Callithrix jacchus: one gene and its partners. The protein of the gene in region 2 binds, or shares a complex with, the protein of the main gene of each other region. Links are inferred from orthologs where the notes say so. Each region holds a gene or a part of one and is shown on either strand. Other genes may lie near its edges.

Region 1 (3,976 bases), on a different chromosome or scaffold from region 2:
GGGCCTGGAGCACTCCTGGGAGGGGAAGGGGAGGAGGGAAAGAGGTGAAGTCCTAGAGGGTTAAAGGAGTTTCTGGGAAAGAGGACAATGGCCACGGTCACACCCTCACCTCGTGCTTATAGACCTCGATTGTCTGGACCTCCTTGGCTGTGCGCAAGTCTGCAGGGAAAGAACCCACCCTAAGTAGTGCCCCACGAGCCTCAGCCTCCCTCACTGCCATCTTGCCCTCCAGCCAGCCACCTCCTTACCCCAAAGTCGAACAGCTCCATCCTCACCACCCGACAGCACCTCTGGGCTCCTTTCTCTCAATGCCAGGCAATGGATGTAGTCTGTGTGGCCCCGGAGGACCCGCTGCAGTAGAGGGGCAATGTGAGGAGATCTAGGAAGAGTGCCTCTCCCTGGCCTGGACCTGCTCTAGGGCTCCAAGCCCCTGCTCACCGTGAAGGTCCCAGTTTCAAGGTCCATAGTGTGCAGCTGACAGTCTCCCCCAGCCAGGATGAGAGAATTCTCCTGTGAAGGAGGAGGGTGAGGCAGGAAGTCAGTGTCAAATCAGGAAAGGCAGAGAGTGAAGAATCAAAGTTTGGACCAACAACAGTCACATGGGGCTCAGACCTTGGGGACCAGCAGCAAAGCATTGATCTCAGGCACTTCCAGGCTGGTCCTGGGGGAGGAAAGTCAGGGTAAGTGAGGGAGTGCCTTCACCCCCATGCGCCCTCTATCCACGTGGCCCTGGCTCACCTGTATGGAGGCTGACGGCACCACAGCTCCTTACAGCCCTTCAAAAGGAAAAACATGAGGCGACCTCAAAGGCCCTTTTTGGGTCTGGGTACCCCAGCCCTTGCCCCAGCCTCACTCCTTACCTTCTTGAGCATCTCCACCCAAAGCCAGGCCTTCACCTCCCCATCCCCAGCACTGAGCAGATGTCGATCTGTGGAGACCATGCTGTAGACCGGCCCATCATGGGCTGAAGAGAAATCCGGAAGTAAGTCAGCCGATCCCACCCAAAGCCCCGAAGCCAGACTCCACAGCTAGACCCACCTTGGAAAGTCACCACCGGCTTCTTACTTTCCTCTTTGGCTTCCGAGCTCAAAGCAGCAGACAAGCTGCAGGGGACAATGGAGGGGACCCAGGAGTCAGAAACAGGGGCATCTGTCCCATGAAGACCAAGTGCCAGGGCTAATGGGTGGACGGCAGCAGAGGGTACCTAAAGATGGCGATCTGCCCATAATTGTTGCCAGCTGCCAGAAACTTCCCACACGGTGAGACGCTTTGGGAGAAGATGGTCATATGGAGCCGCTGCAAGGCCTGGAACACCTCTGCCTGCAAGGAAAGACTGGATGAGGCCTGCCTGGGACATCTGAAACCTCCCATCCACAGACTCCTCCCTGCTTCCCCGCTACACCTGCCAGGCCTCCCACTGTCCTGACTTCTCAGACCTCTTTTGCAGCAGCCAGCACCTGCCCATGCAGTCCCATAGGTGGCTCCAAGAAGACACTGAAGAAGGGGAGAGTTGAGGTGTGACGCCTCATGAACCTCTGAGCAAACACCCAAGCCTCTCCTACCAGCTTCCTCAACTTTCAAATGGAGCTCACAGGAGATTGTCACGATTAGATGAGCTAGTGTATAGACAGAGCTTTGCACAAAGCTGTCACTCAGTGCTTAAGCCAGGTGCCATGGCTCAAGCCTGTAATCCCAGCGATCTGGGAGGCTGAGGCGGGAGGATCGCTTGATGCCAGGAGTTCGAGAGCAGCCTGGGAAACATAGTGAGACTCTATCTCTACAAAAAAAAAAAAATTTAAAAATTTGGCCAGGCACGGTGGCTCACACCTGTAATCCCAGCACTTTGGGAGGCCAAGACAGGCAGATTACCTGAGGTCAGGAGTTTGAGACCAGCCTGGCCAACATGGTGAAATCCTGTCTTTACTAAAAACACAAAAATTAGCTGGCCGTGGTGGCACATGCCTGTAGGCCCAGCTACTCTGTAGGCTGAGGCAGGAGAATCGCTTGAACCTGGGAGGCACAAGTTGCAGTGAGCCGAGATCTCACCATTGCACCCCAGCCTGGGGACAGACTCGGTCTCAAAAAAAAAAAAAAAAAAAGTGTTTAAAAAGTGGTTCTGCTCGGCTGGGCGCGCTGGCTCACGCCTGTAATCCTAGCACCTTGGGAGGCAGAGGTGGGTGGATCACCTGAGGTCAGGAGTTCAAGACCAGCCCGATTTAAAAAAAAAAAAAAAAAAAAGTGGCTCTACTACCCCAACATAGAAAAACGTACTGACTTGTAATCCCTATTCTCTGACTTGCGTTAAGCCCCTGAGGCCTTATTGGTTACTTTCCCGCCCCACCCCCCGACCCGGTCATAATCTGAGTCCCACAAACAGCCCTAGCAAAACAGGGCTCGGGGCACTATTCCCTGCCCGCCCTGTCCAAGTCATGCATGGACTACAAACCCCAGAAGGCACCGCGCACCACGTCCGTCTCACCTGACCCAGAGGCACCGCGAGCGGCACAGCTCGCTCCATCTCCAGAACTACAAGTCCCAGAGTGCTCGCGCGCAACGCAATCTCACGATGCCGTACGTTCCTAGAGCGGTTACTCCTCGCGGCGCCCTGCCGCCTTCGGCGCGAAGGTGACTGCTGCGTACTGTACTGAACCCCAGGAGCCGAGGTGAGCACCACGAAAACCCCCGACACTAAGAAGTGACGCCCACCGCAGTTCCGCTAAGCCGATCCCTTCCCCCACCCCGAGGAACAGGCCCGCCTTCCGCCACGCGCCCCACGTCTTCCGCGCCCGCGCAGAACCTCGCAGCTGCGCACGCCTAAAGCCACACCCCTTCGCGTTGGGCCACGCCCTCAGAGACTCCGCCTCCGTCGCCCAGATCCCACCCGCAGGACCCCAAAACCCAATGATCCTGGAGCAGCCCTTGGAGCGAGGCCCGCAGGGTGGGGCCCAGCGCCTCCCGCGGGCCGCCTTGGGGGTGACTCGCGGCCTGGACGCTAGGTGCGTGTAGGGGACCAGGGTGGGCCTGACCAAGGGCCGCAGGAGCTTTGGCTGGGTGCTCAGGGCTGGTCTGCAGATGGACACGGTGTAGGGCGAATCGGCGGGGCTTAGGTGTAAACTGAGACCGGATTGGGTCTTCGGCTCAAGGTCGAGACTTTCGAGGTACGCTGCTGGATGGCCCAGAAGAGAGGGGACAAGCACCACCTGAGACAGGAATGGGCTTGGGGCTCCTGGCTGATGCTGCAGGCTCAGGCGGGCAGATCCTTGGGAAGGGGCCAAGAGGGTGGGGTGCACCAGGCTCTCTTTTTTTCCCAGCTCCCCTCTCCGAGGAGCTGTGCCCCTGAGCACCAAGCGGCGCCTGGAGGAGGAGCAGTGAGTTTGGGGGGCAGGGAGGGACTCCCAACAAGATCTCTGTCACCTCTGGTCCCCAACACGCTGTCTCCTGTCTCAGTTTCCCAGCCTCCCTCTCTTTCATCTCTCCCCAGGGAGCCTCTGCGCAAGCAGTTTTTGTCTGAGGAGAACATGGCCACCCATTTCTCTCAACTCAGCCTGCACAATGATCACCCCTACTGCAGCCCCCCTATGACCTTCCCCCCGGCCCTGCCCCCACTCAGGTAGGCTCCTCCACTGGCCAGGCTTTCTGCAGGATCACAGGCGGTTCTCAGAGCTGACCTCAGGCCCTGCCTCATCGTGCCATTTTTAGCTCTAGCTGACCTCTGGGTTGTTTCCCATCTTGGCTCTTTGGAAAGTGCTGAGAACCCGGGAGCCCCTGGGGACCTGGACCTGGTGGGAGGTGCTCAGTTAGGCCGCCTCAGCCCCCTTGCCGACTATCATTTCCTCTTCTAGGAGCTCTTGCTCTGAGCTGCTTCTCTGGCGATACCCTGGCAGCCTCATCCCTGAAGCCCTCCGGTTGCTGAGGCTGGGGGACATCCCCAGTCCCTCCTACCCTTCGACCCCAGCTGGGGACATAATGGAGCTCT
Region 2 (4,297 bases):
GACAGAAGACCACTTGAAAAGAAGTTCCTAATACTAGATGGAGAGTGGCTTGGCTATTTTACCCTACATATTGGGGTTGAGAACTTAAAAGTGTAGTTCCACTCCTTCTATGCAGAAAGTCTCTCCTGCCCTCCCTCCTTCCTGCAGGCAAATGTACAGGCCAGGGCCTGTTTCCTCACCCTATCTTACCTCTCCCCTACTTCGCCTTCATTCTGCAGGGCCGCCTGGTGTGTGGAGGGGGGTCAGTGACTCTGGGGGTCTCCACAGTGACCCCCATACCTCATCATGAACCCTTGGGTAGCTTGATTCTGTTTCCCATCCAGGAAAACTTGTGCTGGAGTTGTTGATGGAACCAATTAAATATTTACTATAAACCACAGTGTCCTTTCTTCATCTGCAAGGAACTTTAGCAGGTGCCTAAGGCAGGGCACAGTAGAGCTGGTGGGCTTAGTCCCATATGGCAGATCTGTCCTCCTGGAGGGTATTATGTTCTTGAGCTATTCTCAAGAATCAGTAGTGGCTGCGCATGGTGGCTCAGGCCTGTAATCCCAGTACTTTGGGAGCCCCAGGCAGGCAAATCACTTGAGGTCAGGCCTGGGCAACATGGTGAAATCCTGTCTCTACTAAAAATACAAAAATTAGCTGTGCATGGTGGTGCATGTCTGTAATCCCAGCTACTTAGAAGTCTGAGGCAGGATAATCATTCAACCCTGGAGTCCTAGGTTGCAGGAAGCCAAGATCACCCCACTGCACTTCAGCCTGGGCAACAAAGCGAAACTCTGTCTCAAAAACAAACAAACAAACAGTATTTTCCTCCTTGCTCCAGGGAAGGAGACAGAACTGTCCCTGTACAACCAGGAATTTGGGCCACGTGGTAATAGCTCCAGATAAGTAGGATTTACACAAAAAAATCCTGGACTCTGTAGAGTTCACACCAGGGGTAGAAAATACTTGAAGCGTTCAAATACTGCATTAGTTGTGACTCTGTCCTGGGCAAATCGGGCATAAAATGGGAGAAATTAGTGACGCACTCCTCAAAAAACCAAGTATAGAATGAAGTTAATGCCCTTCCTGACTTGTTGCCTTCACTAATGTGGCATATGGTAGTCAAAATAGTAATTAAGCAGCAAGGAAGAATCGAGGTTATGGAGCCAAATCCTCTAGGGCCCAAATCTTCCCGCCCGCTACCAGGCAGGTTCTTTCGTGTTATGTTGGACATAACATTCATTTAATTACTTGGTGGAGCGCCCACTAGTTGCTGGGCACGGCCTTAGGCCCTGGGGACAGTGAACGAGGCAAGTGTCTTAATTTTAGAAGGCAGTGTGGGATTGTTGCCCTGATGGGACCCGTCGCCTACTAGCTCGCCTGTCACCCCTCCGCAAGGCTCACTAGGCCCCCACCTCACTCGTGGGCCTCCATGCTCCACTTCTGGCCTCCACGCCTCGCTTCCGGTCGGCCGCCCCTTCCTTACTTCCGCTTCTCTATGGTGCGCGGGCCGCCTTTGCTCCGCCTCCGGAAGCGGCCTGTTCCGCGTCTCAGGTTCGCGGAGCTGTGAGGTGAGGAGCGGATTTGGGTAGCGGGGCTGGGAGATGGGGCGGGGCCGGGCGCTCCGGGACTGAGGTGCTGATCGCCTGAAGGGCGCCCCTGGGTTGAGGTCTGAGCCAGCTTCTCCTCCCTCACTACTCAGTCCCCGGCCGCTGGGTGCTGCGCTGTTACCTCATCCGAAAAATGTTCGCTGCAGCATCTTCAGGCCTCATGTTCGAGCCTTTTTTTGTTGTTGGTGGTGGTGATAATGTAGCCTGATGGGGGGGGGGTGGTGGTGGTGGTGGTGGTGTTGGTAACAAGTCACACATATTGTGCTCTCCTGTGTGCTAAGCATTCTGCTGTCTTGCGAAAGTCAGAATTTCCCACACTTAAGCCTTTCGGGTCCTGTCTTTGTGTAACTTAACACCTGTACTACCTTTTACTAAAAATTTTTAATCCAATGCTATTTATTTATTTTTGAGAAGGAGTTTCTCTCTTGTTGCCCAGGCTGGAGTGCAATGGCACGATTTTGGCTCACTGCAACCTTTGCCTCTCGGGTTCAAGCGATTCTCCCGCCTCAGCCTCCCAAGTAGCTGGGATTGCAGGCACCCGCCACCATGCCTGGCTAATTTTTGTATTTTTTATCGAGACAGGGTTTCACCATCTTTTGACCAGGCTGGTCTTGAACTCCTGACCTCATGATCCACCTGCCTCAACCTCCCAAAGTGCTAGGATTACAGGTGTGAGCCACCATGCCCAGCCTGTTTTGTTTTGTTTTTTTTTAAGATGTAATTTTGCTCTTGTTGCCAGGCTGGAGTGCAAAGCGTGATCTCAGCTCACTGCAACCTCTGCATCCTGGGTTCAAGGGATTTTCCTGCTTCAGCCTCCCAAGTAGCTGGGATTGCAGGCACCTGCTACTACACCCGACTAATTTTGTATCTTTAGTAGAGATGGGGTTTCTCCTTATTGGTCGGGCTGGTCTCAAACTCCTGACCTCAGGTGATCCACCTGCTTTGGCCTCCCTAAGTGATGGGGATTACAGGTGTGAGCCACCATGCCCGGCCTGTTCGTAGATGTTAAAGTCAAATTAGGGAACTGAGATATTCTCCTTGAAGCAAGCAGAAGTTTCAAAAAAGAATTGAAAAGGGATTAACTTTCTCCTTAGGTGTTCAGCATTATTTAAGATCATCTGTGTATCATCTGAAGCCACAATCCCAGGTCATCTTCATCACCTTCCTCAGTGGAATGCCTCCTGTGTTAAAGCCCACAACAACCCCTGTGGTAGGGACTGTTATTTTCATTTGATTTGTGAGGAATCAGACCCAGAGAAAAGTGAAGTGACTTGTCCTGGGATTGATAGCCATAAAAGAGTAGAATGGAGATTCTAGTTCAGGGTTCTCTGACTTTTTTTTTTTTGAGATGAGTCTTGCTCTGTCGCCCAGCCTGGAGTGCAACAGCACTATCTTGGCTCACTGCAGCCTCCACCTCCCAGATTCAAGCGATTCTCCCCTCTCAGTCTCCTGAATAGCTGGGATTAAAGGCGCCCACCATCATGCCTGCTAATTTTTGTATTTTTTGTAGAGATGGGGTTTCATCATGTTGGCCAGGCTAGTCTTGAACTTCTGACCTTAGGTGATTCGCCCACCTCAGCCTCCCAAAGCGCTGGTATTACAGGCATGAGCTACCATGTCCAGCCCTGGGGCTTTCTGACTTTTACCATGACAGACTGTTGGCTCCCTCAAGTCAGTGAGGTCAAAGCTGCAGTGAGTGATGATTGTGCCACTGCACTCCAGCTTGGTTGACAGAGCACGATGGATTAGGGTAAAGGGGACAGTGCTGCCCACCTCAGGAGGCTGTGTTTAGGCAACAAGGGAGGGTGCATTGTGGCCCATGAAATGTAGGTTCTATTCTTTAAATTCTAGGATGAACCTGGGAGTCGATGGCATTACTAGATGAGATGCTGGCAGGACAAGGAGGCATAACAGTGTAGTTAAGAGCACCAATATGGCATTGATTGGCTAGACCCAGATTTTAGCATACTAACCATGTGATCTTGGACAAGTAATTCCCCTGTGAGCCAGTTTTGTCATCTGTAAAGTGGTGGGAGTTCTTATCTGAAAAGTTTATTATAAGCAAATGAAGACATACCTTAAAGTCCTTAGATCAAGGCCCAGCACACAGTAAGCACAGTAATATTGGGAGTGGTTTTAAATGCTAGACCAAGGAGTCTGGATGCTAATTTATGGAGCACTCTGCCAGGCTCATGGGGAAGAGGGTAGAGCTCACAATCTAGGTGGGAAGACAGGTAAATGATTCGTAGAAATAAATTCCCTGATAAGATAACCAAAGTAGCCAAAAGAATGCTTTGGGAGACCTGACAGGCTTCCTAGAGCGGACGAGCATTGCTTAGTCTTGAGGGAAATAGGGAGGAAAAGGAAGATCTTTGCCAGCAGGGGAAAGGATGTGGAGTGTTTGAGGAACTGGGAATGCAGAGTGCAGTTGCAGCCAGGAGCAGAGGTTGGGGACAGTTGGAAGGTCAGTAGGAATAGGAATGCAAGAAATGCAGTTGGGAAGGTGGGTTGGGGACGAACCATCAAGGTTCTTCATGGTCAGGGAATGTGGATATCATTCAGTACATCATGAAGAGCCAGCAAAGGCTTTGAAACAGCAGAGGCATTAATTAGGTTGGTCTTTTTTTCCCCTTGAGATGGAGTCTTGCTCTGTCGTCCAGGCTGGAGAGCAGTGGTGTGATCTCAGCTCACTGTTACCTCCA
Region 3 (2,863 bases), on a different chromosome or scaffold from region 2:
TTCTGTGGCTGGCATGGATCTGTCCTCAATAATCTCTAGGAAAATAAACTTAAAAAATTAAGATCCTTGGCCAGGCATGGTGGCTTATGTATGTGATCCCAGCTCAGCACTTTGGGAGGCTGAGGCAGGTGGATCACTTGAGCCCAGGAGTTTGAGACCAGCCTGGGCAACATGGTGAAACTTCATCACTACCAAAGAAGAAAAAAATTAGCCAGGTGTGGTGGTGTATGCCTGTAGTCCCAGATACTCCAGTGGCTGAGATGGGAGGATAGCTTGAGCCCAGGAGATTGAGGGTGCAGTGAACTATGATTGCACCACTGTGCTCCAGCTTGGGCAATAGAGAGAGATTGTCTCCAAAAAAAAGTTTTTAGGAAAGGTTTTAGGAAGTTGTTAAAAGCCTTAAAACGACTTTTTGGGGGGCATGTTAGGGCACTTAAATGTTCAATTCTTCTAATACTGCTTACAAGAAGCATTTCTGGCTTGGTGCAGGGCAGTGGCTCATGCCCATCATCCCAGTACTTTGGGAGGCTGAAGCAGGAGCATTGCTTGAGCCCAGGACTTCAAGACCAGTCTGGGTAACATAGGGAGAACCCCATCACTACAAGTAGTGGGAAAAAAATAGTAGCTGGGTGTGGTGGGTGGCATGCACCTGTGGTCCCAGCTGCTTGGGATGGTGAGGTGGAAGGATCTCTTGAGCCCAGGAGGTGGAGGCTGCAGTGACTCAGGATTGTACCACTGCATTCCAGCCTGGGTGACAGAGTGAGACACCATCTCAAAAAAGCATTTCATTAATATACTTGTGAGTGGTCTATTTGCATTAAAAACTACTTTCTAGAATTAGGATAGCTTCCTTAGGTTTAATGTTTTGGTGAGCAGGAATATCAGTCACTCCTCCAGATCTTAATTCTAGTTTTTTACCACTTTTTCATGAGGTGACCTCATCCTTGTCTCCTGCCATGTCTGGCAATTTTGGTTTCTGAACTCTACCTCAGAGGGCAGCCTCCTTAGGTAAAAATCAGTGCTGAGAAAAAGTATTTCCTCTTCTGCTCTAAATATATAGTGGGGGAACAAGAGATGAAGAGGAATTCCTGAGAACATAATTACTGGAAATTCTTCTCTCCCACATAATGTCTCTCACACCATGGACCCCTATTCCCCAATTCCTGGCCCCCCTCCCCTCCACCCCGAGACAGGTGGTGATCTTTGTGAAGTCTGTGCAGCGGTGCATTGCCTTGGCCCAGCTACTGGTGGAGCAGAACTTCCCAGCCATTGCCATCCACCGTGGGATGCCCCAGGAGGAGAGGTGAGTTGAAGATGGGAAAGATGTTTTACATCCTTGGGAGAAAAAGACAATTGAGAGAAGGGAGTCTCAACATTTTTTAAATTTCCTTTCTCACAAAGGCTTTCTCGGTATCAGCAGTTTAAAGATTTTCAACGACGAATTCTTGTGGCTACCAACCTATTTGGCCGAGGCATGGACATCGAGCGGGTGAACATTGCTTTTAATTATGACATGCCTGAGGATTCTGACACCTACCTGCATCGGGTAAGCCCCACATGCTGAAGAAATCCCGTTCTCCCATTACCTTCTTTTCTATATCTTTTTGTACATTACATCTTCATCCTTGCCTCTGGGAGTCTCTTTCCTCTTGGGTCCTCAGTACTACCCTCTGTCTCCTTCCAGGTGGCCAGAGCAGGCCGGTTTGGCACCAAGGGCTTGGCGATCACATTTGTGTCTGATGAGAATGATGCCAAGATCCTCAATGATGTGCAGGATCGCTTTGAGGTCAATATTAGTGAGCTGCCTGATGAGATAGACATCTCCTCCTACAGTGAGTACTGATCTCATGAAACCCTTTAGATCATCCCTGTTCCTCAGTGTGTTGGTCCTAAATCCCATCATCTAGGTCATGGGCACCTGATGTGTAATGGACACTTGACCGGTTCATGTCCCCTGGCCTTCGATGCTGTGTTGGGTTATTTTCCTGACCTGTGTGTGGGGTCTTTGTCTTCTCTCATCATATTACATCCCTTCCCTCACCCGCATGTCTGTCCTCTGAACCCATACAGTACACCAGTATCTGCATGTATACTGTGTGTTCCTGCCTTGCTTTCCCCTTTTCATGCCTTATTCTGACCATGCTACGTTTTCTCCTCAGTTGAACAGACACGGTAGAGGACTCGCCCATTCTGGAATGTGATTGTCTGGCCTTCAGGAGAGAACAGGGTGGGGGTGAAGGAGACACTACTGCCCCCATCCCTGACAGCCCCCACCCCATGGCTTCCGTCTTTTGCATCACCACCACTCCTGAACCCCCATTTCTGATTTGTCAGAATTTTTTTTAACAAAACTAAAAATGAAACACACGTGTCTGTGGTATCTGTAAGTGCTTCGTCCCTTTATTGTATTTGGGGTGAGGTTATTTTAGGTCGTGGTCCTGAATAAATTCCCTGTAAGGCCTGGGTGCCCTGCTGTGAGGTCAAAGGGAGATGGGACTAAGACTCCAGAGCCCTGGCTCCCCCACTACCTGCCAATTGCCTGTGCTTTGTGGGGGGGTCTCTTCTGCTTTCTCTGCTCTGAGAGTGGCTTGGGTGTTTCTGATCCTGAAGTCCCTGGGGGGTGACGCACAGTATTTCCAGTGCCAGAGGGTGCTGTGGGCACTGGGGAAAGCTTAGGCACTGCCTTCCAGGCTCTCTCGGTGCCGCCTCATCTGTTCCTTCAGCTTCTGGATCTTGAGCACCAGGGCTTGGGCTTCCCAGGCTCCTTCCTGCCCTTCCAGGAGTGCCTGGTATAGCTCCAACTGCTGCTCCAGCAGCTCCTCAGCTTGGGCCAGCTCAGCTGTGCGGTGGGTCCCAGGGCCCT
Region 4 (2,572 bases), on a different chromosome or scaffold from region 2:
TTTTCTGTAATGGACAAGATAGTAAATATTGCAGGCTTTGCAGGCTATAAAGTGTCTATTGCAGCTCCTTAGCTTTGCTGTTGTAGTATAGCTGGAGCTACAGATAGTATGAGTGAGCACAGCTAGGTGCCAGTACAATTTTAGTGATCAAGACTTGTGGCAGGGAGAACAGACCATCATTTGCTGATCCTCTACTTGAAAGCACGAATAAGTGAGAACAGAACAGTCATATGTTTCAGAAAGTGTTATTCTGGGATTTCAGGAGAGCTAGATTTTGTAACTACTAACAGCAAACAGGAAACTAATTTGGTATAGGAAACAACATATCCCTAAGTAGTGCTTATTTCACTTCATTATAAATACATCTACTTAACAGAAATATATTTTGTGATCTTGAGGTCACTTCGTTTAGGTCATTTTCTCAACCCACCCTCCCAACTTCCCCAAACTCTGGTTTGAGCCAATATGTGTTCTATTGTTCTTAGAGCACCAGCCGACTGTACAATTGTTATAAAAATGTTTATTGTTTACCAAAACCAGTGGACCTCTTACCAAATGCTGCTTGGTAACAAAATCTTATCACAGTTTTAATAAAAAGAAAAAAAAGAAGCTAACTATTTGTCTCATTGTCATTAGTTAGACTTTCCGCAAGGTCACTTAATCCAGACTTATTCAGTGCATTAATCAGATTCTCAGGCGTCGCATGAACTCCCTCTTGATCTTGCCAGGCAACTAGCAGCTGCTTAGCTCTCATCTTCATGTCTTCACTGTCACACTCAATCTGCCTAATTTCTGAGTCTTTCATTTCCAAGTAGGGAGCCAGAATCTTCCATTGTTCACCCAGCTTGTTGGCAAATACCTCTATTTGTTCTCCTGTTACAGGTTTGTCTCGCCGAACATCAGGACCTAGAAAATGAAAAGAATATAAATTATGTGCAGAGTACAAGGACATGTGCAATTCTAAGTATACAACAGAAATGGAAAGCTATGGGGCCAATGAGTTATTAATCACCGTTAGTAGACTTTATTTTAAAAGTAAACAATTATTTTTAAATATTTTCCATAAGCATGGTCAATTATCAAAGCTAAAGCTGTTACATCTGTTACAATTATGAAGGCTTTCTCTGAAATGAGCTGCTCTCCCTCCAATCACCAATAATTAACAGAGGTATGGGTCACCTTCAAATGTATTTTCCTTCCCTTTCAAAGTATCATCATTACTTCCCAATGTTATTGCATAAAATGTAGTATTTTTAAAGTTATTATTAAGCAATGTTTTAAATTCCTCACTGTAAGAAACAGTCGAGATAAAATGGGAGAAGTTGAGAAGTTGACCAAATTAAGGTACCTATCAACAAAAAAACCCAATCTTCTTCAATTTTGTAAAATAACCAAGCAAATACAATTCTTACTTTCATTTTCTTTCAGTAAAGCATCATTATCTTCCTCATCTTCATCCTCACCTGTTTTTATTTCTTCAGAAGGAGGCTAAAAATGAGAAAGAAGAATGTTTGAAAGAATGCCAGCCTCTGAAGTAAGGTAGCAGGTACTCTGTTTAGATAAGGATGGTTGTAAGATTCCAAGTACAGGGGGCATCAGAATTTCACCCCTGACATTGTTATATGACAGTATCAGGTAAGGTTTCTAAGTGGGACTGTCTTCACCTGCAGGAGTGAACTGGGGAAGACCCCGGAGTTAGAAAGACTCCCCAGCCCCAATCTGGGAAGCAGGAAGGCAGTGAAAAGCACAGTGCCAAGATTTGCAAATATCCAGGGTTTAGTAAGGCCTCAAGGAAGCTAGTAGCAAGTGTTCTTAAAAAGTTTGATTCTTTTTTCTTTGAAAAAAGACAATATAATGCAATGGCAAACAGGAAAAATTCACGTCTGCATGTATAGGTGCTTAACAGTTTACCCAAAGTACCGTGAATTGTATTTATTTTTTTTCTTTTTCATCACCAAAGATTTTTGAACATATTTAGTTATTTTTGAGACAGAGTCTTGCTCTGTTGCCAGGCTGGAGTAGAGTGGCACAATCTCGGCTCACTGCTATCTCCGCCTCCCAGGTTCAAGCAATTCCCCTGCCTCAGCCTCCTGAATAGCTAGGACTACGTGGTGGTGCACGCCTGACTAATTTTTTGTATTTTAGTAGAGACAGGGGTTTCACCATGTTGGCTAGGATGGTCTTGATCTCCAGATCTTGTGATCCGCCTGCCTTGGCCTCTGAAAGTGCTGGGATTACAGGCCTGAGCCACCACGCCTAGCCCTGTGAAAGTACATGCTGTATAGAAAATTATCAGTTACTTCTTTATCAACTCATGTATTTCCTGTAAATGTGTTATTTAAATGTGTTTCTCCCTCATTCTAAAACATGGGAGCTTGTGTTTTTACATGATTAACTGGGTTTTTTGTTCTCATAGCAATAGCAATTTTAAAGAAGAAGTCAACTAAAGGGTATGAAAAGCTGATCTATGGTACTTACTGGTAACTCCTTGGCGAGCTTTATTACCATATTTTCAAGATATTCTGGCAAACTTTTAAACTGCTGGTTGGTTGGCTGGAAGAAGTGAGGACTT
Region 5 (4,129 bases), on a different chromosome or scaffold from region 2:
CCTCAGTCTCCTGAGTAGCTGGGACCACAGATGTGCACCACCATCTCTGGCTAATTTAAAAATTTTCTGGAGAGACGGGGGTCTTGCTATGTCGCCCAGGCTTGTCTCAAACTCCTGGCTTCAAGTTATCCTCCCACCCTTGGCCTCCTAAAATGACGGGATCACAGGCATGAGCTGCTGCGCCCAGAAAAAGTGCTTAAGTTTCTATGACAATTACCTCAGATTATTAAAACTTTAAGGTGGCAGGGTGTGGTGGTTCACCATCTGTAATCCTAATACTTTAGGAGGGCAAGGCCACAGGATGGCTTGAGGCCAGGAGTTGGAGTTCAGCCTGGGTAACAAAGTGAGACCCAGACTCTATTAAGAAAATAAATAAATAAATAAATAGTGGTGCGTGGTTGCCAGCACCTGTGATCCTAGCTACTGAGGGAGGATCACTAGAGGCCAGGAGTTGGAGGCTGCAATGAGCCATGATCACACCACTGCACCCAGTTCTCACTCCGGCCCAGGTGAGAACCCATCTCTTTAAAACATACTAACAAGCAAAAAACCCAAAACAAACTTCAAGGCCCAGAAAATACCTGTGAAATTCTCAAAAATGGCAGAACCCAATCCAGCAATGAGAATGTGGAGTTTGGCTTTTTTTTTTTTTTTTTGAGACAGAGTCTTGCTCTGTCACCCAGGCTGGAGTGCAGTGGCCTGATCTGGGTTCAGTGCAACCTCTGCCTCCCGGTTCAAGGGATTCTCCTGCCTCACCTCCTGAATAGCTGGATCTACAGGTAGGTGCTACCATGCCCGGCTAATTTTATTTTTAGTAGATATGGGGTTTCTCCAGGTTGGCCAGGGTGGTCTCAAACTCCTGACCTTGCCTGATCCACCAGCCTCGGCCTCCCAAAGTGCTGGGATTACTGGCCTGAGCCACCACACCCGGCTGAGTTTGGCTTTTAATTTAGAGCAGTCATTTTCTTTTCTTTCTTTTTTTTTTTTTTTCTGAGACGGAGTTTCGCCCGTTACCCAGGCTGGACTGCAATGGCGCTATTTCGGCCCACCGTAACCTCCGCCTCCTGGGTCCAGGCAATTCTCCTGCCTCAGCCTCCCGAGTAGCTGGGATTACAGGCACACACCACCATGCCCAGCTAATTCCTTGTATTTTTAGTAGAGATGGGGTTTCACCATGTTGACTAGGATGGTCTTGGATCTCTTGACCTCGTGATCCACCCGCCTCGGCCTCCCAAAGTGCTGGGATTACAGGCTTGAGCCACTGCGCCCGGCCAGAGCAGTCATTTTCAACCTTGACTACATGACTTACCCAAAGAGGTTTTAAAAAAAAAATAGGTCCAGGTACTACGGGAGCGGTGGCTCACACCTGTAATCCTAGCCCTTTGGTGGGAGGCCGAGGTGGGTGGATCACCTGAGGTCAGGAGTTCGAGACCAGTCTGGCCAACATGGTGAACCCGTCTCTACTAAAAATACAAAAATGCTGGGCGTGGTGGCTCATGCCTGTAATCCAAGCACTTTGGAGGCCAAGGCAGGTGGATCACCTGAGGTCGGGAGTTCAAGACCAGCCTGACCAACATGGCGAAACACTGTCTTAAACGAACAAAAGAAAGCAAAAAAAAAAATTAGCCGGGCTAGCGACAGTGCCTGTGTAATCCCAGCTACTTGGGAGGCTGGGGCAGGAGAATCGCTTGAACCCGAAAGGCAGAGGTTGCAGTGAGCCGAGAGCATGCCATTGTACTCCAACCTTGGCAACAAGTGTGAAATTCCGTATCAAAAACAAACAAAAATAGGGCTGGGCAAGGTGGCTCACGCCTGTAATCTCAACACTTTGGGAGGCCAAGGAGAGAGGACTGCTTGAGCCCAGCAGTTCGAGACCAGCCTGGGCAACATGGTAAGACCTTGTTTCTATTAAAACATAAATTAAAAAAATACGAATATCTGGGCCTAGATTAAACCAGAATCTCTGGTAGTGAGGTTTGGAAATGAATAATTGTGGGGTGGGGGAAAGCTACCTAGGGGTGCTTCCAATGTGCAGCTAAAGTAGAGAAACACAGATTTACAGAGTGAAAATACAGGTATGCCTAGTTTCAAAATTGGATTTCAACTCCAGAATTAAGTAGGGTCTTTAACAAGGAACTGAGGATCTGGGGCAGTGATTAGGAAAGGTTTTCTATATTCACCTGGTAATTAGCTCGCAGAGAGCCCTCCACAATATTTAACCCTAACGCTGCCATTAATTTCCAACATTTCTCATTTAATCTCCCTACCATCCTCAAAGCCCTGTCAAGACTCCCACTTTTGCTCAACCCGCCAAATAAGTTCCCTTTTTATCCCTATCAAACCCAACCTCCCTCAATCCCGCCACCAGGTTCCAGTTCAGCCCCTCCCCCGTCCCCTCGCAGGGGCTCCGCCTCCTCCCCGGGGCCTCCACGCTCCGCCACCTGAGCCGTTTCCACGTGCCACCACCCGCTCTCCGCATCTACTGGCCCCTTCCACTCCCCAAGACTCCCTGCTCCTTCTCACTACCGAAACTCACCGAAGGAAACAGACGCCAGGGTTCCTCCCGGGGCTGCCACCACGGCTCCGGCAGGCGGGCCGGGGACCGGCCGAACCTGAATTGACGGTGGAGGGGCTCGGGTTAGCTAGATGGGCGGTTGGTTAGATGCGTAAGCTGTAGTATGCGAACTTAGTTTGTTGTTGCTGGTTGGCTGTCTAGTCGGCAAATCCGTCTGCTCACTCGGCCTGCCCTTTCCCGACTTTCGTCTGCAGCGGCCGCCAGCTCCGTCTCAGTGTCCAAAACAAAATGGCCGCCACGTCCCGTGCGTGTAGGACCGGCTAAAATGGCGTCTACGCAATTACGTCAGGAGTCAGATCTGCGCACGACTAGAGGGCGGGAAAGATTTGAGCTACGCCTGCGCAGAAATCAGAGGCGGAGCCTTATGGCGAAGGCGGGGCTTGAGCAAACGTTACTTTAGCGTTGCAAGCAGTGCTCCGTCCCCCCAGGGGCGTGGCCAGTGGTCCCGTAGTGGGGTCGTGCAGGGTTACCGTAGGCCGTTACCGTAGTGGTTGCACGGCGACTTCCTGGGGTAGTTCGTAGAGGGGATTTTAGTCCCGAGTTCCCTCGTCCCCCCGTTCCCCAGCCAAGGTACACAGTTTAAAAATCTTTACACGGGCGGAGCGCGGTGGCTCACGCCTGTAATCCCAGCACTTTGGGAAGCCGAGACGGGCGGATCACGAGGTCAAGATATCGAGGCCATCCTGGCCATGGTGAAACCCCGTCTCTATTAAAAAAAAAATAAAATAAAATCTTTACATGGACTTGCCTCATCTTCTACCGGACCACTGGGCCTGGGGAATTTGTACTGGTTTTCCCCTCATGTCCACTCGCCCAGTCTGAGAGTTGTGAAGTGCCGTAAATGCTCCGGCCAAGGCCCAGGAGGCCAGTATTGGGAGCACACTCCTCGCGGATCCTTCGCCGGCTCCACGGCCGCCCGTCCATGTTTTCCTCCTCACTTCCTCCTCTCCCCACAATACTGTTTAATCCTTCTTGTGAGGGCACCTTTGCATCTCCGATTTCTCTTCCATGTCCTCCCTCCACACCTGCCATCCGTGTTGATTTTGTTGCAGACCTACAAAGGGATTTATCTTTTCTCTCTGATTTTTTGTTGTTGTTTTGCGACGGGCTGTTCAGGCTGCAGTCAGTGGCACAATCAAGGATCACTGCAGCCTTGATCTCCTGGGCTCAGATGATCCTCCCACTTCAGCCTCCCGAGTTCTGGGATTATAGGCGTGAGCTATGTGCCCTGCTCAATAAGGAATTTTTCTTTCTTTCTTTCTTTTTCTTTTTGCAGATGGAGTCTCCGTCACCCAGACCGGAGTGCAATGGTGCAATCTCGGCTTACTGCAACCTCTGCCTCCTGAGTTCAAGCAATTCTCCTGACCTCAAATGATCTGCCCTCCTCTGTTACCTAAAGTGCTGGGATTACAGTCATGAGCCAACGCGCCCGGCCTCAGTAAAAGATTTTTTAATGGTTTTGTACACAATACAGTGTGCATACGTTTGATTAATGAGAGAATGCAACCCCGCCCCATAGGCACGTCAAGACCCTTTCATTTTTCCTTCCTGGCA
Region 6 (3,649 bases), on a different chromosome or scaffold from region 2:
GGATTACAGGTGTGAGCCACCACAGCCGGCCTATGTAAGACAATCTTAACAAACTATTTACTTCAAACAACCCTTCATTTTACCAATATATTCTTTTCTATTGAAAATGATTACTAAAGAACAAAACAATAGAGAAAACAGATCAACAAAACAAGAATCATATTATTCACATATTAAGAAGAGAGATATAGAAAGCAAGGCATATTATTTTACTTTGCATCTTATAATTACCTCTCATGCCAGTGACTTTTAACAGCATGAAACCTTTCCCCATAATAAGCATATGCCACAAACATTTTGCATGTAATTTCACAGGTTCATGGCCCTCCTAAAGCCTCTTCATAGACTCTGTTTTCAGAAGTGTGATTATTTCTAGAAATTGGCCCATTTTCCCATGTACATCCTAGAAATGCCAACTTCTAACAATCTTCAACTTATTTTGTAAACCAATCAATGTAACCAGTTAAAAACTACCTAGAATATTAACGAGCACAAACATATCCAGCTTAAAAGCATTTTATTAAGCATATTTCGATGTTGCTTCCTACCTTTTAAGAATAAAAAATGCCTTTTAATAAAAAAATCTATACTAAAGTCATTTTCCTTTGTGTAAGGAAATATGAATGAAATGTACATTCATATTTCAAAACAGCATATGGTACTGCCAAAACTTTAAATATCTCAAGAGCACACCACATTTTAAACACATTATGTTCATGCAGCTATTTCAATATTCCTGGGAATGGTGGGCAATTAGCCTATCTATGGCTTAGGATCTGTTTCCATGCTTGCGTCCTGAGCTTCTTCTACCTCTGAGAGTTTTTCATCATCTGTAATTGAGAAGGAAACATAAAAGCTTAGTCGAGTTTGCCTACATTTTATATTTAATGAACATATGAAAACATGTTTATCCTTTATTAACCAATACAATTAAAGCAAAGATGGCTACTAATTGAATCAAACTGTAAAATTTATGTGATAGATTTCACTTAAAAAAAAAATCTAGGCAGGTGTGGTGGCTCAAGCCTGTAATCCCAGCACTTTGGGAGGCCAAGGCAGGTGGATGACCTGAAGTCAGGAGGTTGAGACCAGCCTGGCCAACATGGTAAAACCCCATCTCTACTAAAAAAACAAAAATTAGCTGGCTATGATGGCATGTGCCTATAATTCCAGCTACTCGGGAGGCTGAGGCATGAGAATCACTTGAACCCGCGAGGTTGGGATTGCAGTGAGCCAAGACTGCACCACTGTACTCCAGCCTGGATGACAGAGCACGATTGCCTTAAAAAAAAAAAAAAAAAAAAAATGGGTCTTAGGCTGTTCTTGAAAAACAATCAGAAGGTCAGGTAACATAGAATTTCCAGCTGTCTACAGGGATATAAAGAGCAAGTCTCCAGTTCCCTAAAGCACCCAGCACTCAGTGGGTATGCAAATATTCTTAGGTACTGATTGCTTATTATTGCCTGCCTGGGTCCTGAGTTGTTACCTTATAGTAATCTACTACAGTGAACCAAGAAAAACTCCAAATCTATCATCCTTCAATTTTTCTTAATTTAAACCACTAGATATATCTTTAAATCCTGTATTAGTACAAATTAAGACTTTTCTATACATATTCAAGAAAGTTGAACATGAGTATCTTCTAATGTCATCCAGCTATACTGTTAAGAAATTGAAGGCATATTCTCTCTCCAAGATACATATTTCAAAAGGAACATCCCTGACTCATTTAAAAAATCTTCATAAACATTTATTTTGAGACTATTTCTACTTACTTTCCAATGTTTGCTGAAGTTCATGGATGGTACTAAGAAGAACATGAAACTGTTTCCGTCTCAATTCCAGCTGTGTTAACAAGAAAAAAATTTATACAAATGATGATCTATATATATATAGATATATATGATGATCTATTTATAGATAGACAGATAAATCACAAAGGCTAAATATCTATGCAAATACCTTATCTTCGACACTTTCTTTAATATGTGAAAGATGCTCTAATTCTTTTCCCAGAGCTTCTAGTTCCCTGGAAATAATAAAACAGTGTTACATTTTGCTGAATGGGGCAAAAAATTTACAATTAATAACTAACTTATTAGTTACTAGATAGAATTTTTAAAATAAAATTGAAAAAAAAACTTATAAGGAGTTATAACACTCCATTATGGTGAGACTTTTAAAAATGATTTCTTCTTAACTTTTAAATATGGACTTACTTTAATTAAAATTACACTTTCTGATAAATTTTTAAAGTACAGAAAAATACAGATAATAGAATAACAAGACCCAAGAAATGATACATATTGTAGAGCTTAACTTCAAGGGTCTTTTTTTTGTAAAAGAAATAAAACATTGCCAATTAACTTGAAATACCCTTTGAACCTTACCCCTAGTCCTCTATCCTGGGCCTTTTTATCTCCTCTACCTCCCACTCAGGCAACCACTATATCATTCTAATCCATTTTTACACATATACCTGTATCACTGAATAATATACAGTATTGGTATATAATATTTGAAAGGGGGTTCTAACTTTTATAAATTGTTATTATTCTATATGTGTTTCAGAAATTTAATAATAATTTTAAATTTATTATGTTTTTTCACTGATTATGTTTTGAGGAGTGTGTTTGAACAGTACAAAACTAGTTTATTCTTTTTTTTTTTTTTGAGACGGAGTTTCGCTCTTGTTACCCAGGCTGGAGTGCAATGGCGTGATCTCAGCTCACCGCAACCTCCGCCTCTTGGGTTCAGGCAATTCTCCCATCTCAGCCTCCCAAGTAGCTGGGATTACAGGCACGCGCCACTGTGCCCAGCTAATTTTTTTGTATTTTTAGTAGAGACGGGGTTTCACCATGTTGACCAGGATGGTCTCGATTTCTCGACCTCATGATTCCCCCGCCTCAGCCTCCCAAAATGCTGGTATCACAGGCGTGAGCCACCGCGCCCGGCCTAGTTTATTCTTTTTAACTGATATTTAATATTTTAATATATGAAGACCACATTTTATTTGTCCACTCTATTTGTCCATATTACATGCATTTATTTTAGACATATAGGTGGTAAGGTCAGAGGAAAATAAAATCTAACAGAGAAGTATTGGGAAATATAATATCGAAGACCTGAACCCTCCTTTTGAAACATATTTATTTCTGCAAAAATGAAATGCCTAGGGTAGTGTATCAGCATTTATGTATAAAGGTTAGTTCCTTTCAAAGTAAAGCTCTACACTTACTTTAATGTCTCATGCCTGTCTGGATGATGCTGGATCACTTTTGCCAAAGCATCATATTCTGAAAGACATAAAAATGTTTATCAAACTAAGGGCTTATCAAAACAAAATGTGTAATATCACAAGCCTCTCCTAACCACTTCCCTAGTACATCAAGAAATGAAATCATTGAAAGATGAGTATTGCCAGTTCTAGTTGACTGAGTTATAACTATAATGACACATAACATCAAAAGTGTTCTAAACAGGGATTTTAGCTCCCTAAACTTCAGCACTTTTTTTCCATTTATATGTTCTGGACAGAACATAAGAGGTCAGCATAAAAATAAGTGAACTTAAGTTATTACTGATTATCAAATAGACTGATTCTGAGAAGGATCTTACTCACTAGTTGTCCAAAAAAAAAAAGAAGAAA
Region 7 (3,500 bases), on a different chromosome or scaffold from region 2:
TCCCTTCACTCACATCACTCTGCCTCTACAAAGTACTCACCATGTTCTTCAAGATATGCCTGGAGTCTATGGATAAGATCTTGCTTTATTCCCTTGGTCTCCAAACCACGAGCAAGACATTCTTGCTTTAGTTCAGCAAGCTGATGGGGAAAAAAATAAAACTTTTCCTTAGTTAATGGGATGATCACCAGTGAATAAAGTGGTAGTTCCCACAAGGAAAAGGAAAAGAAAACGAAATTCCATCCCGAATTACCGCCTTTAATTCTATCAAGACTCTGGGTCCACCAAGATGATCCATGTTCCTCTAACAATATTCAGTATACAGGAGGAACTGTCTAACAGATGCTGAAAAATAAACATCACACTTTAATAAAAACCTCATCTATTTTGTGTATCTATTTACCGTCACAAATGTCTAGTTATTTTCTTAATATTCTGAAGAGGGAAAAGGTTTTTTTCTAAAGATTACTGTGGCAGCCAGCAAATGGGAAGAATGAACCTTCAAGTATAAAATTCAATGATCTAAAAGCAGATTCTCCTTACCACTTATTATCTCACATCCTTTATTACAATCTACCAGACAGGTCTAACCACCATAGAATTAAGTAGATGCATTACCTAATGTCAACAATGAACTGATTAAAGGAGCTGTGTCAAAATGGCACGAAACATCTAATGGCATACCATAAAGTTCTGTTGAAGATTTAAAAATCAGTAACTTGACTAAAGATATAGAAGCTATGATCATCTATTTTACAGACAATGGAAGGAGAACTGATGGATTACTGACATAACTAAGCTTAAAAACAAAACAGAAATAGAAAAAAACACTTCTTCAGGACTAATAATTAGCCAAATGAAGATTTAATTTAGAAGGAATAAGGTCAGCCAGGCGCGGTGGCTCACGCCTATAATCCCAGCACTTTGGGAGGCCCAGGCGGGTGGATCACGAGGTTAAGAGATCGAGACCATCCTGGTCAACAAGGTGAAACCCCATCTCTACTAAAAATACAAAAATTAGCTGGGCATGGTGGCACGTGCCTGTAGTCCCAGCTACTCGGGAGGCTGAGGCAGGAGAATTGCTTGAACCCAGAAGGTGGAAGTTGCGGTGAGCCGAGATCGTGCCATTGCACTCTAGTCTGGGTAACAACAGCGAAATTCCATCTCAAAAAAAAAAAAAGAAGGAATAAGGTATATACATAAATTCCTACACTTAGATTTAAAACTTCAATTATATAAAAACTGGATAAGGGAGGACAGGCTCAATAGTAACACAAAGGATAAAGACCTCAGAATTTTAAGCAAAGAAGGTTAACAGTATGATTTGCTACCTACAAGTCATAGGTAACCAAAATACAAAATCCATGATAAATGATGTAACAGTCTACTGGGCTCTATATTCTTATTTTACAACAGAAAATGACATGCTGATCCAGAAGAACAAGCAGGAAAGAAAGGCTATAGAAATTCTATCTGCATAAATGAAAAATCTTATAAAGCATTTAGAACAGTGCTTGATGGCTAGTAAGTGCTTTATACTTATTAAGTACTAAATCACTGGTCTCAGATTTCAGAGTTTCACAAATGAATGTATTTTTATTTTCTTTACTCCTTTTTAGAGACAGTGGTCTCAGTATGTTGCCCAGGCTGAACTTAAACTCTTGGACTCAAGTAATCCTCCTACCTCAACCTCCTGAGCAGATGCGACTACAGGTACACAGCACTCTGTCCAGTTCAATGTACTTTTAAATAGGTAGGCTGATAAGGCTGCTTTTTACAATATCCCAATCAGGTCATGGAGCAATACTCTTGCAGTAACAATAAAAATCAATTATTACAAAAATGAGTGTACACTTGGATACTGCTCTATCAAAATGCTATAAAACATTCTAAAAGCTTACACTCAATTTTTGTATTTATCTCACCGCTAAACAGGAACAGCTAGGTCATGGACCAGCAGTGGCCTGTGAATCATACCTTAAATAACATTATAAGCGATCTTTATAGTCAGTCCATTAATTTTTTAATTTTTATTTTTTAATATTTTATTTTTTTTCTTAGATCATGACAGACCAGTAACATTCCATTTATTAAGTAAGAATCTTGATCTTGGTGGTTCATGCTTATAATCCCAGCACCTTGTGAGGACAAGGTGGGAAGACTGCCTGAACCCAGGAGTTTGAGACCAGCCTGGGCAAAACTATGAGATGCCATCTCTATTAAAAAAAATTTTTTTGGCTGGGCGTGGTGGCTCATGCCTGTAATCCCAGCACTTTGGGAGGCAGAGGAAGGCAGATCACCTGAGGTCGGGAGTTCAAGACCAATCTGACCAACAATGGAAAAACACCGTCTTTACTAAAAATACAAAATTAGCCAGGCATGGTAGCAAACTCCCAGCTACTCAGGAGGCTGAGCCAGGAGAACTGCTTGAACCCAGGAGGCGGAGGTTGCAGTGAGCCGAAATCACGCCACTGCACTCCAGCCTGGGCAACAAAAGCAAACCTCCATCTTGGGGGGGAAATATATATATTTTTAAAAGAATTTTGATCTTTCTAACACTGATACTTTATTTTCTTTCTGCTTCCCAGAGAACGAGTCTTTTGATTTTAATTACACCTTAAATTGTTTAGTTATAAAAGTATTATGTTCACTGTAGAATAGTTTAAAAATTCTGTAAAGTTTAGAAGAAAATAAAAGTCATATGTAATCCCAGCACCTACAAATTACTTAACATTTACATATATCATGAGCTACCATGCCCAGCCTACATACAGTTTTTACATAATGTTATATTATATCTTTTGTTATATAGTGTGTTCTTCTCATATACTAAGATATTATTTTATTTTATTTTATTTATTTATTTTTGAGATGGAGTCTCACTCTGTTGCCCAGGCTGGAGTGCAGCGGCACAATCTTGGCTCACTGCAACTTCTGCCTCCCAGGTTCAAGCGAGTCTCCTGCCTAAACTTCCCGAGTAGCTGGGATTACGGGTGTGTGCCACCACATCCGGCTAATTTTTTTTGTATTTTTAGTAGACAGGGTTTCACCATGTTAGCCAGGATGGTCTTGATGTCCTGAACTGGTAATCTGCCTGCCTAGGCCTCCCAAAGTGCTAGGATTACAGGTGTGAGCTACCACGCCCAGCCTAGGACATTATTTTAAAAGAGAAATGGCCAGGTGCAGTGGCTCACACCTGTAATTCCAGCACTTTGGGAGGCCGAGACGGGTGGATCACCAGGTCAGGAAATCAAGACTAGCCTGGCTAACACAGTGAAACCCCACCTCCACTAAAATTACAAAAAATTAGGCCAGGTGCGGTGGCTCAAACCTGTAATCCCAGCACTTTGGGAGGCTGAGGCGGGTGGATCACGAGGTCAAGAGATCAAGACAATCCTGGTCAACATGGTGAAACCCCATCTCTACTAAAAATACAAAAAATTAGCTGGGCACGGTGGCGCGTGCCTGTAATCCCAGCTACTCAGGAGGCTGAGGCAGGA

The links.
Region 1: the proteins of THOC5 (region 2) and THOC6 are in contact, whole or in part, in a cryo-EM structure (PDB 7APK), measured with the Homo sapiens proteins. The link is inferred for Callithrix jacchus from reciprocal best matches to the Homo sapiens genes THOC5 and THOC6. Residues at the interface, in NP_001002877.1 of Homo sapiens: Pro406, Gly407, Asp538, Ile539, Val540, Asp541, Ala542, Gly543, Leu544, Ser575, Ile576, Ser593, Asp596, Arg599, Glu602, Gly603, Asn606, Val607, Tyr609, Arg660, Phe662, Arg663, Gly664, Pro665, Ser666, Arg667; in NP_001334633.1 of Homo sapiens: Val5, Pro6, Ala8, Val9, Pro10, Leu11, Gly12, Gln13, Val16, Phe17, Leu20, Gln21, Leu23, His24, Met25, Thr26, Phe28, Tyr45, Tyr80, Asp94, Glu125, Val126, Pro127, Glu128, Asn130, Gly146, Tyr170, His172, Glu188, Trp222.
Region 3: THOC5 (region 2) and DDX39B share a complex: the UniProt entries of both Homo sapiens proteins name them as parts of the transcription/export (TREX) complex. The link is inferred for Callithrix jacchus from reciprocal best matches to the Homo sapiens genes THOC5 and DDX39B.
Region 4: the proteins of THOC5 (region 2) and THOC1 are in contact, whole or in part, in a cryo-EM structure (PDB 7APK), measured with the Homo sapiens proteins. The link is inferred for Callithrix jacchus from reciprocal best matches to the Homo sapiens genes THOC5 and THOC1. Residues at the interface, in NP_001002877.1 of Homo sapiens: Tyr52, Arg113, Lys120, Asp124, His127, Leu128, Gln131, Asn132, Leu134, Tyr135, Glu136, Met138, His139, Thr145, Lys146, Glu149; in NP_005122.2 of Homo sapiens: Glu60, Arg145, Arg146, Leu147, Ser148, Ser150, Gln151, Lys285, Met286, Leu289, Val296, Tyr297, Phe298, Leu302, Ser304, Leu307, Leu310, Gln311, Ser313, Asp314.
Region 5: THOC5 (region 2) and CHTOP share a complex: the UniProt entries of both Homo sapiens proteins name them as parts of the transcription/export (TREX) complex. The link is inferred for Callithrix jacchus from reciprocal best matches to the Homo sapiens genes THOC5 and CHTOP.
Region 6: the proteins of THOC5 (region 2) and THOC7 are in contact, whole or in part, in a cryo-EM structure (PDB 7APK), measured with the Homo sapiens proteins. The link is inferred for Callithrix jacchus from reciprocal best matches to the Homo sapiens genes THOC5 and THOC7. Residues at the interface, in NP_001002877.1 of Homo sapiens: Pro48, Asp51, Tyr52, Tyr55, Cys59, Leu62, Gln63, Met66, Ala67, Gln70, Phe95, Lys99, Leu101, Asn102, Ala105, His106, Arg108, Leu109, Gly112, Arg113, Gln115, Thr116, Ala119, Lys120, Val123, Tyr126, His127, Leu130, Leu133, Glu136; in NP_079351.2 of Homo sapiens: Ala21, Asp23, Ile27, Leu30, Val31, Phe34, Tyr50, Met53, Leu54, Leu57, Cys60, Glu61, Met64, Gly65, Thr67, Leu68, Val70, Tyr71, Asn74, Met78, Tyr81, Ile84, Tyr85, Ile88, Glu89, Ser91, Ile92, Ala95, His96, Lys98.
Region 7: THOC5 (region 2) and SARNP share a complex: the UniProt entries of both Homo sapiens proteins name them as parts of the transcription/export (TREX) complex. The link is inferred for Callithrix jacchus from reciprocal best matches to the Homo sapiens genes THOC5 and SARNP.

Annotation. Positions count from the first base shown.
Region 1 is NC_133513.1:5,170,985-5,174,960, reverse strand, and holds the start of THOC6 (THO complex subunit 6), read right to left. Parts: upstream 2,801-3,976; 5' UTR 2,519-2,800; coding exon 2,480-2,518; intron 1,495-2,479; exon of another isoform or gene 1,476-1,494; coding exon of another isoform or gene 1,437-1,475; intron 1,321-1,436; coding exon 1,205-1,320; intron 1,104-1,204; coding exon 1,039-1,103; intron 965-1,038; coding exon 861-964; intron 777-860; coding exon 739-776; intron 662-738; coding exon 613-661; intron 511-612; coding exon 439-510; intron 352-438; coding exon 249-351; intron 160-248; coding exon 110-159; intron 16-109; coding exon 1-15. Other genes in the region: HCFC1R1 (host cell factor C1 regulator 1), read left to right, coding at 2,902-2,996, 3,312-3,368, 3,482-3,610, 3,843-3,976. UniProt on the Homo sapiens protein: Component of the THO subcomplex of the TREX complex which is thought to couple mRNA transcription, processing and nuclear export, and which specifically associates with spliced mRNA and not with unspliced pre-mRNA.
Region 2 is NC_133502.1:200,157,518-200,161,814, reverse strand, and holds the start of THOC5 (THO complex subunit 5), read left to right. Parts: upstream 1-1,497; 5' UTR 1,498-1,556; intron 1,557-2,689; 5' UTR 2,690-2,769; coding exon 2,770-2,805; intron 2,806-4,297. UniProt on the Homo sapiens protein: Component of the THO subcomplex of the TREX complex which is thought to couple mRNA transcription, processing and nuclear export, and which specifically associates with spliced mRNA and not with unspliced pre-mRNA.
Region 3 is NC_133505.1:39,016,320-39,019,182, reverse strand, and holds the end of DDX39B (spliceosome RNA helicase DDX39B), read left to right. Parts: intron 1-1,193; coding exon 1,194-1,303; intron 1,304-1,401; coding exon 1,402-1,546; intron 1,547-1,684; coding exon 1,685-1,832; intron 1,833-2,159; coding exon 2,160-2,176; 3' UTR 2,177-2,363; downstream 2,364-2,863. Other genes in the region: MCCD1 (mitochondrial coiled-coil domain protein 1), read right to left, coding at 2,673-2,861. UniProt on the Homo sapiens protein: Involved in nuclear export of spliced and unspliced mRNA. Component of the TREX complex which is thought to couple mRNA transcription, processing and nuclear export, and specifically associates with spliced mRNA and not with unspliced pre-mRNA.
Region 4 is NC_133514.1:63,815,287-63,817,858, reverse strand, and holds the end of THOC1 (THO complex subunit 1), read right to left. Parts: coding exon 2,479-2,572; intron 1,489-2,478; coding exon 1,413-1,488; intron 907-1,412; coding exon 611-906; 3' UTR 501-610; downstream 1-500. UniProt on the Homo sapiens protein: Component of the THO subcomplex of the TREX complex which is thought to couple mRNA transcription, processing and nuclear export, and which specifically associates with spliced mRNA and not with unspliced pre-mRNA.
Region 5 is NC_133519.1:14,052,241-14,056,369, reverse strand, and holds the start of CHTOP (chromatin target of PRMT1 protein), read right to left. Parts: upstream 2,801-4,129; 5' UTR 2,537-2,800; intron 1-2,536. UniProt on the Homo sapiens protein: Plays an important role in the ligand-dependent activation of estrogen receptor target genes. May play a role in the silencing of fetal globin genes.
Region 6 is NC_133516.1:45,607,377-45,611,025, forward strand, and holds the end of THOC7 (THO complex subunit 7), read right to left. Parts: intron 3,297-3,649; coding exon 3,239-3,296; intron 2,030-3,238; coding exon 1,963-2,029; intron 1,846-1,962; coding exon 1,776-1,845; intron 831-1,775; coding exon 763-830; 3' UTR 501-762; downstream 1-500. UniProt on the Homo sapiens protein: Component of the THO subcomplex of the TREX complex which is thought to couple mRNA transcription, processing and nuclear export, and which specifically associates with spliced mRNA and not with unspliced pre-mRNA.
Region 7 is NC_133510.1:63,845,594-63,849,093, reverse strand, and holds part of SARNP (SAP domain-containing ribonucleoprotein), read right to left. Parts: intron 346-3,500; 5' UTR 299-345; coding exon 254-298; intron 141-253; coding exon 41-140; intron 1-40. UniProt on the Homo sapiens protein: Binds both single-stranded and double-stranded DNA with higher affinity for the single-stranded form. Specifically binds to scaffold/matrix attachment region DNA. Also binds single-stranded RNA. Enhances RNA unwinding activity of DDX39A.